2 linked regions of the Neodiprion lecontei genome follow. The protein of the gene in region 1 purifies or fractionates together with the protein of each later gene. This does not show direct contact. Links are inferred from orthologs where the notes say so. Each region holds a gene or a part of one and is shown in the gene's direction. Other genes may lie near its edges.

The links.
Region 2: the proteins of protein CLP1 homolog (region 1) and uncharacterized protein LOC107227980 purify together in Homo sapiens (affinity purification with mass spectrometry; 4 studies listed by BioGRID and IntAct, counting the BioPlex papers as one, with this or other methods). This does not show direct contact. The link is inferred for Neodiprion lecontei from reciprocal best matches to the Homo sapiens genes CLP1 and TSEN15.

Annotation. Positions count from the first base shown.
Region 1 is NC_060261.1:42,991,554-42,997,090, forward strand, and holds protein CLP1 homolog, read left to right. Parts: upstream 1-1,925; 5' UTR 1,926-2,119; coding exon 2,120-2,218; intron 2,219-2,248; exon of another isoform or gene 2,249-2,471; intron 2,472-2,580; coding exon 2,581-3,638; intron 3,639-3,717; coding exon 3,718-3,829; 3' UTR 3,830-4,153; downstream 4,154-5,537. Other genes in the region: nudC domain-containing protein 3, read right to left, coding at 1-184, 356-926, 1,008-1,105; uncharacterized protein LOC107216500, read right to left, coding at 4,154-5,448. UniProt on the Homo sapiens protein: Polynucleotide kinase that can phosphorylate the 5'-hydroxyl groups of double-stranded RNA (dsRNA), single-stranded RNA (ssRNA), double-stranded DNA (dsDNA) and double-stranded DNA:RNA hybrids. dsRNA is phosphorylated more efficiently than dsDNA, and the RNA component of a DNA:RNA hybrid is phosphorylated more efficiently than the DNA component.
Region 2 is NC_060261.1:8,991,286-8,997,339, forward strand, and holds uncharacterized protein LOC107227980, read left to right. Parts: upstream 1-1,928; 5' UTR 1,929-2,123; coding exon 2,124-2,147; intron 2,148-2,287; coding exon 2,288-2,369; intron 2,370-2,781; coding exon 2,782-2,953; intron 2,954-3,038; coding exon 3,039-3,270; 3' UTR 3,271-5,437; downstream 5,438-6,054. Other genes in the region: serine/threonine-protein kinase N, read right to left, coding at 6,012-6,054. UniProt on the Homo sapiens protein: Non-catalytic subunit of the tRNA-splicing endonuclease complex, a complex responsible for identification and cleavage of the splice sites in pre-tRNA. It cleaves pre-tRNA at the 5' and 3' splice sites to release the intron.

The DNA of each region.
Region 1 (5,537 bases):
GCTCAGATGTCGGCTTTCCAAGAAGTTTTTGCTGGTGATTCCACATCAGTTCTTGAACTTTCATCTGTTCATTTGCTCCCAAGTCCTCAATTGGTCGGGAGCAATCAATTTTAGTCAAATCTATGTGCGGCTCACCCTTAGTCAGAGCCTCCCACCATCTTTCGGTTGCTTTTTCCAAATGAACCTGTAGAATTTTGTTAGAGATCAATGGAATGCTGTCAAATCGTAATTGAAAAACGAACATCTTGGATTTCTTTTGCCGAAAGGAAGACGCTACTATTTTCTATTATCAGAAGATTCGCTACTAAATTTGAATAAAAGCTCCAAATCATATCAAATAAAATTGAAAGCTTACATGGACGTAGTACCCAGGTATAATGCACCACATAGATTCCTCTCTTTGCGTTTTAAAGCTGAGTTCTTCGTCGAAGGTAACGATCCATTCAGAGTCTGTAGCACCGTCAGAATATTTGTCCAGAGAATTATTTTCTCTAAGGCGTTCCGTTTTCACAGCTATTCTTATTTTTTGGGCAGTTATATCAACCCTCAAGTCTTTCGCCGATTCGATATTTGAAGGAATGTTGACAAGTGCATCAACGTCGCTTATCGTCTGCGACCAAGTGTAATTTTCTCTAACAGCTCCGTTATAGCTGTCAGATGGCTGTACCGGCGTTTTGTAAGTCTTTATCGGCTCATCGTCTATTTGGTTACTGCTGGTTTCGACTTCTACTTCAACTACTTCGGTAGGCTCCAGCAATTCTGAGGTTTGAGCCTGGGCCTCAGATCTGGACAGATTGTCAGCTTCAAATCTACTTTTCCACTTCCGATAGATTTTTAAGACTAAGTCTTCAGCAACCCCTGCTGGAAAACCCAACTTCTGGTCTTGTGTCGATTCAACGTAAAAGTCGGTGCTAAAAAGAATGAAACTGACAGTCTTGAATCATTATCAATTATTATGAATTCTGTTCTTAATCCAAGTACTCAAATGTTCAATTCAGGTACATTACCATCTGTACATAAATCCGAAGAACGTATTCAAAAAATTGGTTATGTTCAGTTCATCCTTCAAAATTTGTAAAAGTAACTCGTCGTGTTTCGACTCCATGACACAAACGCGGTTTGACAGTGACGTTTCTTCACAGATAAACCACAAACTATCGTCCGAAATATAGGTATTTAGGTAGCACGTGGATAAAGTTAAGCAGAAATGACGCTTCAGACAAACTTAGTTCTCCCGAATACCAGCGACAGCAGCACTAGCTGGATATTGAAGATATTGCACGCACTTTTGAACGCTACAAATCGACACACATAATTGTTTAATACATGTTGGCAAAACGAGAAAGAAATAATTCAACTCTTCGATTGAAATTAGATAAATTTCGAAAAATAACTGCCATAAATTTGAAAGTCATTGAAATAATTCGTTTCAGTTCTTCGACGGAATTTTGGAAGAAATAATGATATCCTTTTCGGAGAAGATTATTATCACGGAATAGGGGTCAACACTGAAACCCTCGCGTAGTTAAGGCTTACAATTAGAGCATACAGAGTTAAGGGCAGCACTGTTACAATAAGTTCTGCAGAGGCGAAAAAATATAATTCTTAGATTTACTTTTCATAAATGAATAACATTTACTTTAATGAATTATTTACCAAATCCCTCATTTCTCTTCGTAATATAGACAATTTACGCATGGATAAATTGTGGAAAACGTAAATATATTTTTATTATTTCGCAAATGTTGATAAACATAACTTTATTTTATTGCAACTTATCGTACGCCTCGTTCCGTGCACGGTTCCAACAAATATTATTTGGAACAATTGTTTGAATTAATTTTTTGTGTGTCAAACTGTCCATCTGCTGTATTTACTGTCGTAAAAATCATTTAAAATTTTTGGTACAGATAGATAATATGATTTTACGCTCGCAAAAGATCCTAGAACATTGGGATTTCATTTCGACAGCGAGAGCATCTCCATGAACGAAAGGAATCGATGAGACATTTTCGTCGTCAATTGTGTGAAGTGCGATACAAAAACGGTGTGAACTTAACGTGACGATTAGTCTTCTGTTTTGAACCTGTTTTGATTGAGAACAGTACTTGAAACAACAATGACGGAAGAGAAAGGTCTGACGCAGGAATACAAGCTCGAACCTGACTGCGAGCTGCGGTTCGAACTTGAACAAAAGAATGAAAAAGTTACTTTAGAGGTTAGAAAACTATATCATAGGTTTATTTACGTTTACTTAACACTGATTCTTGGTTGTTCTTCTCGACTTCAGCTTTTGTTCTTAACCCTCAAACGGTACGGTGGTTTGAAACGGAATATTCGGTACGGTTCGACCGTATGCAACGAGAGGGAAGAATAAGACCGAGAGAAATAGAACTGTGGGTCGGATCCGACCCCCAAAGTCCCGTTTGAGAGTTAAAACTGAACCACTCACAAATCGTTCAACGCGACAGTCGTTGAGATTAAAAAAAAAAAAAAGACGGCTATGTACATTTAAACCTTTTTATAATCTGTCCTCTGACTAATGAACATCGAACTATAAAATTCGTGTAACGATTTCAGCTGAAAAGCGGTCTTGCCGAAGTGTTTGGTACAGAACTAGTTAAAGGGAAAAAATACGAATTCTCTGCGGGTGCAAAACTCGCAGTGTTCACATGGCAAGGATGCGTCTTAGAACTGGTAGGAAAGACAGATGTGATCTACGTGGCCAAAGAGACGCCAATGGGTGTTTATCTCAACTGCCATGCAGCGATGGAGCGAATGCGTGAAACAGCAGAAAAAGAAGATACAGTTGGACCTATAACAATGGTAGTAGGGCCCGGAGATGTAGGAAAATCCACCTTCTGCAGACTGTTGCTAAATTATGCAGTTCGAATGGGGCGAAGACCTGTTTTCGTTGATCTCGACGTCGGTCAAGGTGACATAGCAATACCTGGAACAGTCGGAGCTTTATTAGTAGAAAGACCGGCAAACATTGTCGAAGGATTTAGTCAACAAGCCCCGCTTGTCTTTCACTTTGGTCACTCCAGTCCCAGCGCAAATACTGCGCTGTACAATCTTTTAGTTTCACGATTGGCTGAAGTATGTTCTGACAGACTTCAAGCCAACAAGAAAGCTAAGGCCTCAGGAATCGTTATAAACACTTGCGGCTGGATCAAGGGTGCTGGTTATAAACTACTGACTCATGCTGCACAGGCTTTTGAAGTGGACGCGATTTTAGTGCTCGATCAGGAGCGTCTCTATAATGAGCTAGTCAGAGATATGCCAGACTTTGTGAAGGTCGTTTTTCTCCCCAAAAGCGGCGGTGTTGTTGAGAGGAGTAAATCCTTAAGGACTGAATCGCGGGACAAAAGAGTTCGCGAGTACTTCTACGGTTTTCGAACTCCGCTCTACCCTCATAGCTTTGAAGTCAAATGGAGTGAAGCAAGGCTCTACAAGGTGGGAGCTCCGATGTTGCCAGCGTCATGTATGCCTCTAGGAATGAAAGCAGAAGATAATTTGACAAAACTGGTAGCCGTTAGCCCAGGTCCAAGTTTGCTGCATCACTTACTCTCAGTCTCATTTGCTGATTCCCCTGAAGATGACGTTGTGCAAACCAATGTGGCAGGCTTCGTATGCGTGTTCGTATTCATATTTACCCTTCGATCTAAGAAAGTGGCATGAATCTAATGATGTTTAGTAAATAATCAAATGTTTCAGAACTAACGTTGATGTCGAGAGGCAAACTTTTATGGTTTTGAGTCCACAACCAAGGCCGCTACCAAACACCGTCCTCCTTCTGTCTGATATACAATTTATGGATAGCCATTAAGCCATTGAGGGAATTTTACACTTGTATAAACGCTACTGAATATTTTTACCATACAAAAATATATATATTTTTATAGGTAACAGAACAAATGCATTTGAAGATATTTGAAACTTATATTGTGCAAATGATTTTATTGTTTACCACAGTCCTAAAATCATTAGGATGGTACAATCTGGCTAATGGAGCAATATTATTAGAGCTAAATTATAAATAGTTAGTGATACTATTAATTGTGAGCAGTATTTGATTTGTATTAATTAGCTCCATTTAGTATTTTTAAGGCACCTTCCTTACTCTTGGAGTAAAAACTCATGCAACTGAGTACTAATCGCTCAGCAAATGCCCTGAGCAAATTCTGCAGACAGCAGCCTCTGATTGCAACTGAGAACTTCTTAAAAAGCTCACTTTTATTTCCTCCAAAAAATTATCTATTTCGTTATATATGTCCTCAATTATCTCACGTGCAGTATCGAAGAAAAACTCTGCTAAATTATCACAGCGATCCATGTGACTAGCATCTATGCCTAAATCTGCAAACAGATTCTCGACTTTTGGTCTCACATACCCAATCCAAATATCGTACATTAATTTATCCATTGACTCCTTTGCAAATTCTTTGCTTTTTCTAAGAATATGTTGCGCAATGTTTGCGAGATTCGTAATTAAATTCGTACATTCAATGTCACTAAAGTTCTGCATGTCAATTACAAGCTTTCCAATATAATTCATGCTTTCAAAAGATATCGGAAATGATGCATAGTACGTGAAAGGTTTAAAACTTTCTCTAATCAAGCCAAGTTGCCTTACATAGTTCGCCACTGGCATTCTATTTGGAGATGGTATGGTACTCCGTGATACATGAAAAGGGTCTACAGCTCTCACAGTATTGACTCTTACTTGCTGTGTTTGCTGAGATAATTCAATGGGATCAAATTTTACATTGTGATTGATCATAGCATGACCATCTTTGAACGTAACTTCAGCATTCGACGACCTAAATACTTTATTGTTTCTAACAACTCCAGCAAAAAAATCATCTTTATTTTGAATCGATCGGATTCCACGAATGATCTCAGAGTCTCCGGTAATTTGATCGCCGCTACATGCCTGAGTGTTACATCTGATCTGTCTGAAAGCTTTTTTGTGTCTGTTACTTCTCAGTGACTGTTCATAATCTTGAAGCACTTGTTGCTGAGTATTATTGATTATAGTTTTAGCCGTATGAAAATTTATCACAGCGTTACCAAAGAACAATACGTGCGCTATTACTTGGGTTACATCAAGTACAGAAATTTCTTTTTTGTTGTGGTAATTCATATATATATTGTAGATTCCATTACCAATTCCCATACCATTTATAACTATATTACCGATAGTGATTACATTATATGTAGTTCGGCCCGCAGTTCCTATTGTCAGACCTGCCCGGACTGCCTTGTTCAAAATCATTGTAGACCCACTTGCTAAACCTCCTGCCACACCACCTACAACACCAAACCAAGCGGAACGTGCTGTTTCATCCATCACAGAGATAGACTGTTGGTGTTGATGGCGGTCTGCCAATTGCTGACCAGATCTGACCATTGCGCAGACCCCACTTACAGCACCGCAAACCGAACCTATGGTTGAAACATTTTATCATTTAATTCGTTCAAAGGTACTTGAAAAGAATTTGGTTTTTAACGGAATTAAGTGACGCTACCAACTT
Region 2 (6,054 bases), about 34 Mb from region 1:
TTTTAGCCGAAAAATTTTTGGTCCCAGATTCGATTTAAATGACCCTTTTCTGACCATCTGGACCCCTAGGAACTCAGAAAACGCAGCGAAAACAGCGTGGGATCAACAGGAGAGAAGTTACGAAGGAAAAAGCACCTGCTGAAAAATGTCGAAAACACAGGTTCTCGTTTTTCGGCTGTAACTTTTGATGCGTTGATCGCAGCGTATTGGGACTGCGCCCAATCGATTTCTCTCGCAAAACTACGTCGGAATGGTGCATGAAAGAATTTATTCCAGCACTTTTCAAAATCGCGAAAATTTTCGCCAAAAATGCAAAGGGGTTAGCCTTGCCTTTTTTTTAGCCGAAAAATTTTTGGTCCCTGATTCGATTTAAATGACCCTTTCCTGACCATTTGGACCCCTAGGAACTCAGAAAACGCAGCGAAAACAGCGTGGGATCAACAGGAGAGAAGTTACGAAGGAAAAAGCACCTGCTGAAAAATGTCGAAAACACAGGTTCTCGTTTTTCGGCTGTAACTTTTGATGCGTTGATCGCAGCGTATTGGGACTGCGCCCAATCGATTTCTCTCGCAAAACTACGTCGGAATTGTGCATGAAAGAATTTATTCCAGCACTTTTCAAAATCGCGAAAATTTTCGCCAAAAATGCTTTTTTTTTAGCCGAAAAATTTTTGGTCCCAGATTCGATTTAAATGACCCTTTCCTGACCATTTGGACCCCCAGGAACTCAGAAAACGCAGCGAAAACAGCGTGGGATCAACAGGAGAGAAGTTACGAAGGAAAAAGCACCTGCTGAAAAATGTCGAAAACACAGGTTCTCGTTTTTCGGCTGTAACTTTTGATGCGTTGATCGCAGCGTATTGGGACTGCGCCCAATCGATTTCTCTCGCAAAACTACGTCGGAATGGTGCATGAAAGAATTTATTCCAGCACTTTTCAAAATCGCGAAAATTTTCGCCAAAAATGCAAAGGGGTTAGCCTTGCTTTTTTTTTAGCCGAAAAATTTTTGGTCCCAGATTCGATTTAAATGACCCTTTCCTGACCATTTGGACCCCTAGGAACTCAGAAAACGCCGCGAAAACAGCGTGGGATCAACAGGAGAGAAGTTACGAAGGAAAAAGCACCTGTTGAAAAATGTCGAAAAATACGTGTGTCGTCATGGGCCGTAACTCTTGATCCGTTGCTCGCAACGTATTAGCACCAATTGTAAGATAGCACCACCTTCCTTTTTATTCCTTGAATTTATCGAAACTCAACGGTCTACTCTATTTAGCCTACGAAACAAACTGGTGAGATTTCATTTGTAACTCATCGAGATTACAAGTATGTGATATGCGATGCTGGGTGAACTGTGGTACTGGCATTTCCCATGAACAATTAAGTATGAATATTCAGTCGAGGATTGTTAGTGTCACCTTAGATGTGTTGAAATCAATCACATCAGGTGTTGTGATGCATTTATAATTCACCGCAATTCGGAAATGAAAAGACCGGACACGTATGTTAGTCACGTCAAAATACCTTATGTAGTCATCTTTCACTGATGACATAAGTACGCGAAATAAATACCAGGTTAATTTTCATTACCGTTTCATCATTCTATTCCAATAAACAATTTTTATCAGAAGTGGTGAAAAAACAACCGCCTGACGCATCGTATTTCTGCAACCTGCGATACACGAATCATTCGGATCCTGCATACACCGACCTGATGATGGCGGACCCTGTTTCACTTGTTGTTCACAATGAGTTTTGACGTTTACACCAGAGATGAGTTTCTGGTGTTACTCGGTAGGAGAATGCAGCCAGCATCATGTCGAAATCGGCCACTCTCAGATGTTCTGCAACAAGTTCTCAACTCTACCGTCGAAACATCTCTGGAGGCGCAAGCGCACAACGATTTTCGTTAGTCATACCAAAGTCCATTAGGGAAACTGTCTTTATATTGTTCAGTCAAGGCATGTACCGATCTGAAGATGGCGGACTCTGTCTCACTTGTGGTCGACAATGAATTTTGACGTTTTCACGTGAGGATTTTCTGTCACCTCCGCTGTTGCAGTTCAGACTTTATATTTACCACGCCATTTTAAACGCATGACAAACGTATAAGGCCCAGTGAGCATAATGTATAGCACGTGTCATCCAGCAGTGAGTACTTATTTATCGGTTGACATCTGGAAATTCGCATGTCAGGTGTTAGAATGTGGTCAGAATAAACATTCGCTCACTTCAAAACCACTTTCTACGTCAGAGACTACGGAAATTAACTAATACGCTCATTCTTTCAGTTTTGCGATATAGAAAAACTTGGCTGCACGAATGCTCTGCAAATCACGATTGCATTTCAAACATACATAGAACTGTGCGAAGGTATGGATATACTCACCGACTTGATTAAATAATTGTGATCCAACACATCAGACGAAAACGTCTGGTGGCAGAGAATCTACTATTCTAAGAGAGTTTCATCTAGTTATGAAAGTTTTATCTTATTTTTTTATTACGACACATGACTTCATGTAACAAAATGATGGTTGTTTGGCAGTTTTTTATACCACAATATTCGTATAATACGAATCTAAAACGATTGGTCCATTTCTCTTTGTTATTTTGGTATTTTATCGCTTAAGCATGCTCATATGTTTACTGCTAATTTGTCTTCAGGACAGAATTAAGAACGCTACTGTAGGTGTAACACGAAACATTCCTTTCATTTATGAATCTTGCAAAATCTAAAATTTCAAGTAGCACGTTTTATTTTCATTCCTATTACTGGTTTTAGTGAAACGGTTTTGGGACGTACAGTACAAGTATAACAAATCACTTGACTTGATCTATCTGGAAGCTTGTGCAACCAAATCATCTCCATTGCAAAAATACATTCCATGGCCAGCAGTAAATGCCATATCTTTGAATCATATCGAGCAAATGCAAAAGGAATTGAAGAGTGAACGGTAACTTTAGAACTTACTGGTACCATGTCTTCAATCATTTACTTGTTGCAGAGAATGGACTGACAATAATTTATATTGTTTGTAGATTGACACTGGTTTTCGTAGAGGGAGACAGTACCAGTATTTATTACTGTGTTTCAGCTGGACTTGTAAAACCGGCATCGCCAGAACAAAGCAAAGAGTACAAAAAGAGGCAAGAAAAGAAAATTGAATTGGAAAGTGAAATAAGAAAAAATGCTTCAAATCTCTATGAATTAGCTACTTCGGTAGAAAGTAAAGAGAGTCAAAGCAATCCTGAATTGTCTGCAGGGGATTGAAACGCACAGTTCATACTTGAAATATAAGTCAAGCAGAAGAATTGCTCCGTATAAAATTATTTAAAATAATTGCAGTCAAAGAGTTTTTTTTCCTTGTATTTATTGTATGCATAATTTTTCTTGGGCATATTATAAGTTTATAAATTTTAGAGTTATCACTAAAAACTACGCAATTAATTAATATAATATTGTATCAAGCTGCCACTGCAATTATACGTATCAAATAAATTAATACTTTAAAATCATCACGTAGGCATCATGGTTATTAGTTGTTTAGTATATAAACTATAAAGTATGAGGCACATAGTACAGTTTTCTTTGTCATAACAGGTATGTTGAATATTAGGGATAGTGTAATGAATGCATCACCGAACACATCTTAAGATTAAAACCTAACAATGTTATTAGGTAAATGTATGTAAAAATTGAGTAAGGAAACGTTTTTACTGTACTAGTAAAAACTTTCAAAACAAGAAGTTATATGACTATCTACAATTGAAGATTTATTGGGTATTTCATGTTGTAATTTATGTTATATACACCATACGAATTTGTTATTTCCCGAATACATGTTAATATGTGCTTCTTTTAGAGTCACGTGCAAATTATTTGATCGCGTAACTATACAGTTAAAAGTGGAAGTAATGGAACTCAACATTCAAAGTGATAAATCTTATTACTTGTTAAATAGACAGTTCAGTCATGATCGATAATTATTTAATGCTTCCTAAAATAGTAAACAACGATCAAAAAAATATGATGATTAATAATAATAAATCAATCGAGAAGATACCGTAACGTGAGTAGTTTGGTAAGAATTGCTCTAGCTTAGAAATAAACGGAAAGATTATTTGTTTCCCGGATAAGTGTTCAGTTTTGGCAGTTCAAAGTTGCGTCGATGATATAGAAGCAAAGTAGGTGAACAATGCCTGCAGAACAATATATTAGTATTTAGCTTATCAAGACGTGTTACTGTAATTATCAATAATTGTTGAAATTATTTCAACACGCATTCAAAAATTACAATTTTCTTCATATCAATGAATCGAGGTTGACATTAATACAAAAATCACATATGTATTAGAATAAACTATGTTCTTGGCAACAACTTATACTACGATTATGATTCATTATGTTGGATATGCAGTTAAAATGATTTTTCTTTTTTTTTTTTAATTTTATTTATATTAAAATTATTTTACTTTTGACGAATACGATCGTAATCTATATCTGATCGTTTACCTTCATTTTCTTATAAAGTATAGAATGTATCCTGTGAGATGATTTCTAAAAAGGTATTTAAATTAGGCCGCTAATTAATCATACCACAGTTGCCTAATCACCGAAGGTACAAAACTGGATTAAAACTCCATAATGGGTCCATCAGATGTTTTTATGATAAAGTATAACGTGAGCACCTCCTGATATTGATCAGTGTTGATTATAATATATTATAAAAATGCTTTATAAAATAGTTACCAAATAATTTTTATTTCTTATTTACCATTGTATTAATTTTTTAATGCAATAAGGCAACTATTCATCGAGATTTTCTCGAAACTATCACAAATATTTGCATTATTTTTATCGATCAATTTTTATTGTTTTTATTTACCAATATCTCACGGACAGTAATTTAAGAGAACTGAGCTTTTTGCTCAAGATAGAAAAGCAACTCCGAAATCACATTCAATATTGTTATAGAATATCAGATTGATTGGTATGAATTTACCAAAATAAGTCCTAGTTATTTAACATGGTTCTTGCATGATTTGTTTTTTTATGAGAAAAATTTTATAACTTCATCAAAATAATCCGTAACCTTGATCATTGCTTTGATTGTCAATTGTGAAAAGTAAAACTGATACCACATAACCTGGTCCAGATTTAATAGCTTAATAAAAAAATTGCCTTTGAAATGAGAAAGACTTGTGTTTGTAACAACTAATTATATTCTCAATTCTTATATTTTATCATACTACATAAAACATTTCTCAAGCCTGTAAATATTGTCAAAAGTGAATGTATTACATCAATGCACTTTGTAACTATGTTGGCATTTTCTGAATTAAACACATGAAACAAGCATGGACTACGTCGACTTTTTTCCCACAATTTTCGACACCTACCGTTCGAAAGTTCAATCTCCATTTGAAACCAATGCAAGGAAAATAAACAAAGAAAAAAAAAATAAATAAATAAATAATGAGCGACAATTGAGGGTCAATTTTTACTTTAGTGCTGTGATCTTGACAGCAAAATTCAAATTGTGCATTGATCAGTTATCAAACAGGCTGTGAGCAAATAGCATAATTATTATAACTTCCGTCCTAACGAGCAAGTTTTCTTTTGGCCAATACAGAGTTTATACACATACTTTCATAAAATTGAATTATACACTTTTGCTGGTAGAAATTTTATCTTTTTATAATTCAAAGGCAATATCTCATAATAATACAATTAGAGGACTTAATTTTTACATAATCAATAATCGCAAATGTGCAACTGTAGTTGAAAAAATAATATACAATTAATTGTTGATTCATGATTGTGTGTGAATTATTAACTATGTCGTACACATAGGAAAGAAAACGTGCTGGCGTGGAGAATATTACATTGGAATTACCTACGTGTTGGAAGCAAATTATATCACTGCAAAATAAATTTTGTGAATGAAACTTATAACTCTTATGCGAATGAACACTAGAAGACTACATAGTCTGCCTCTGTAGCGATTGTAGCTAGCACCAATCGGCCATGTATGTGAAATCTCTGAAGAAGTTT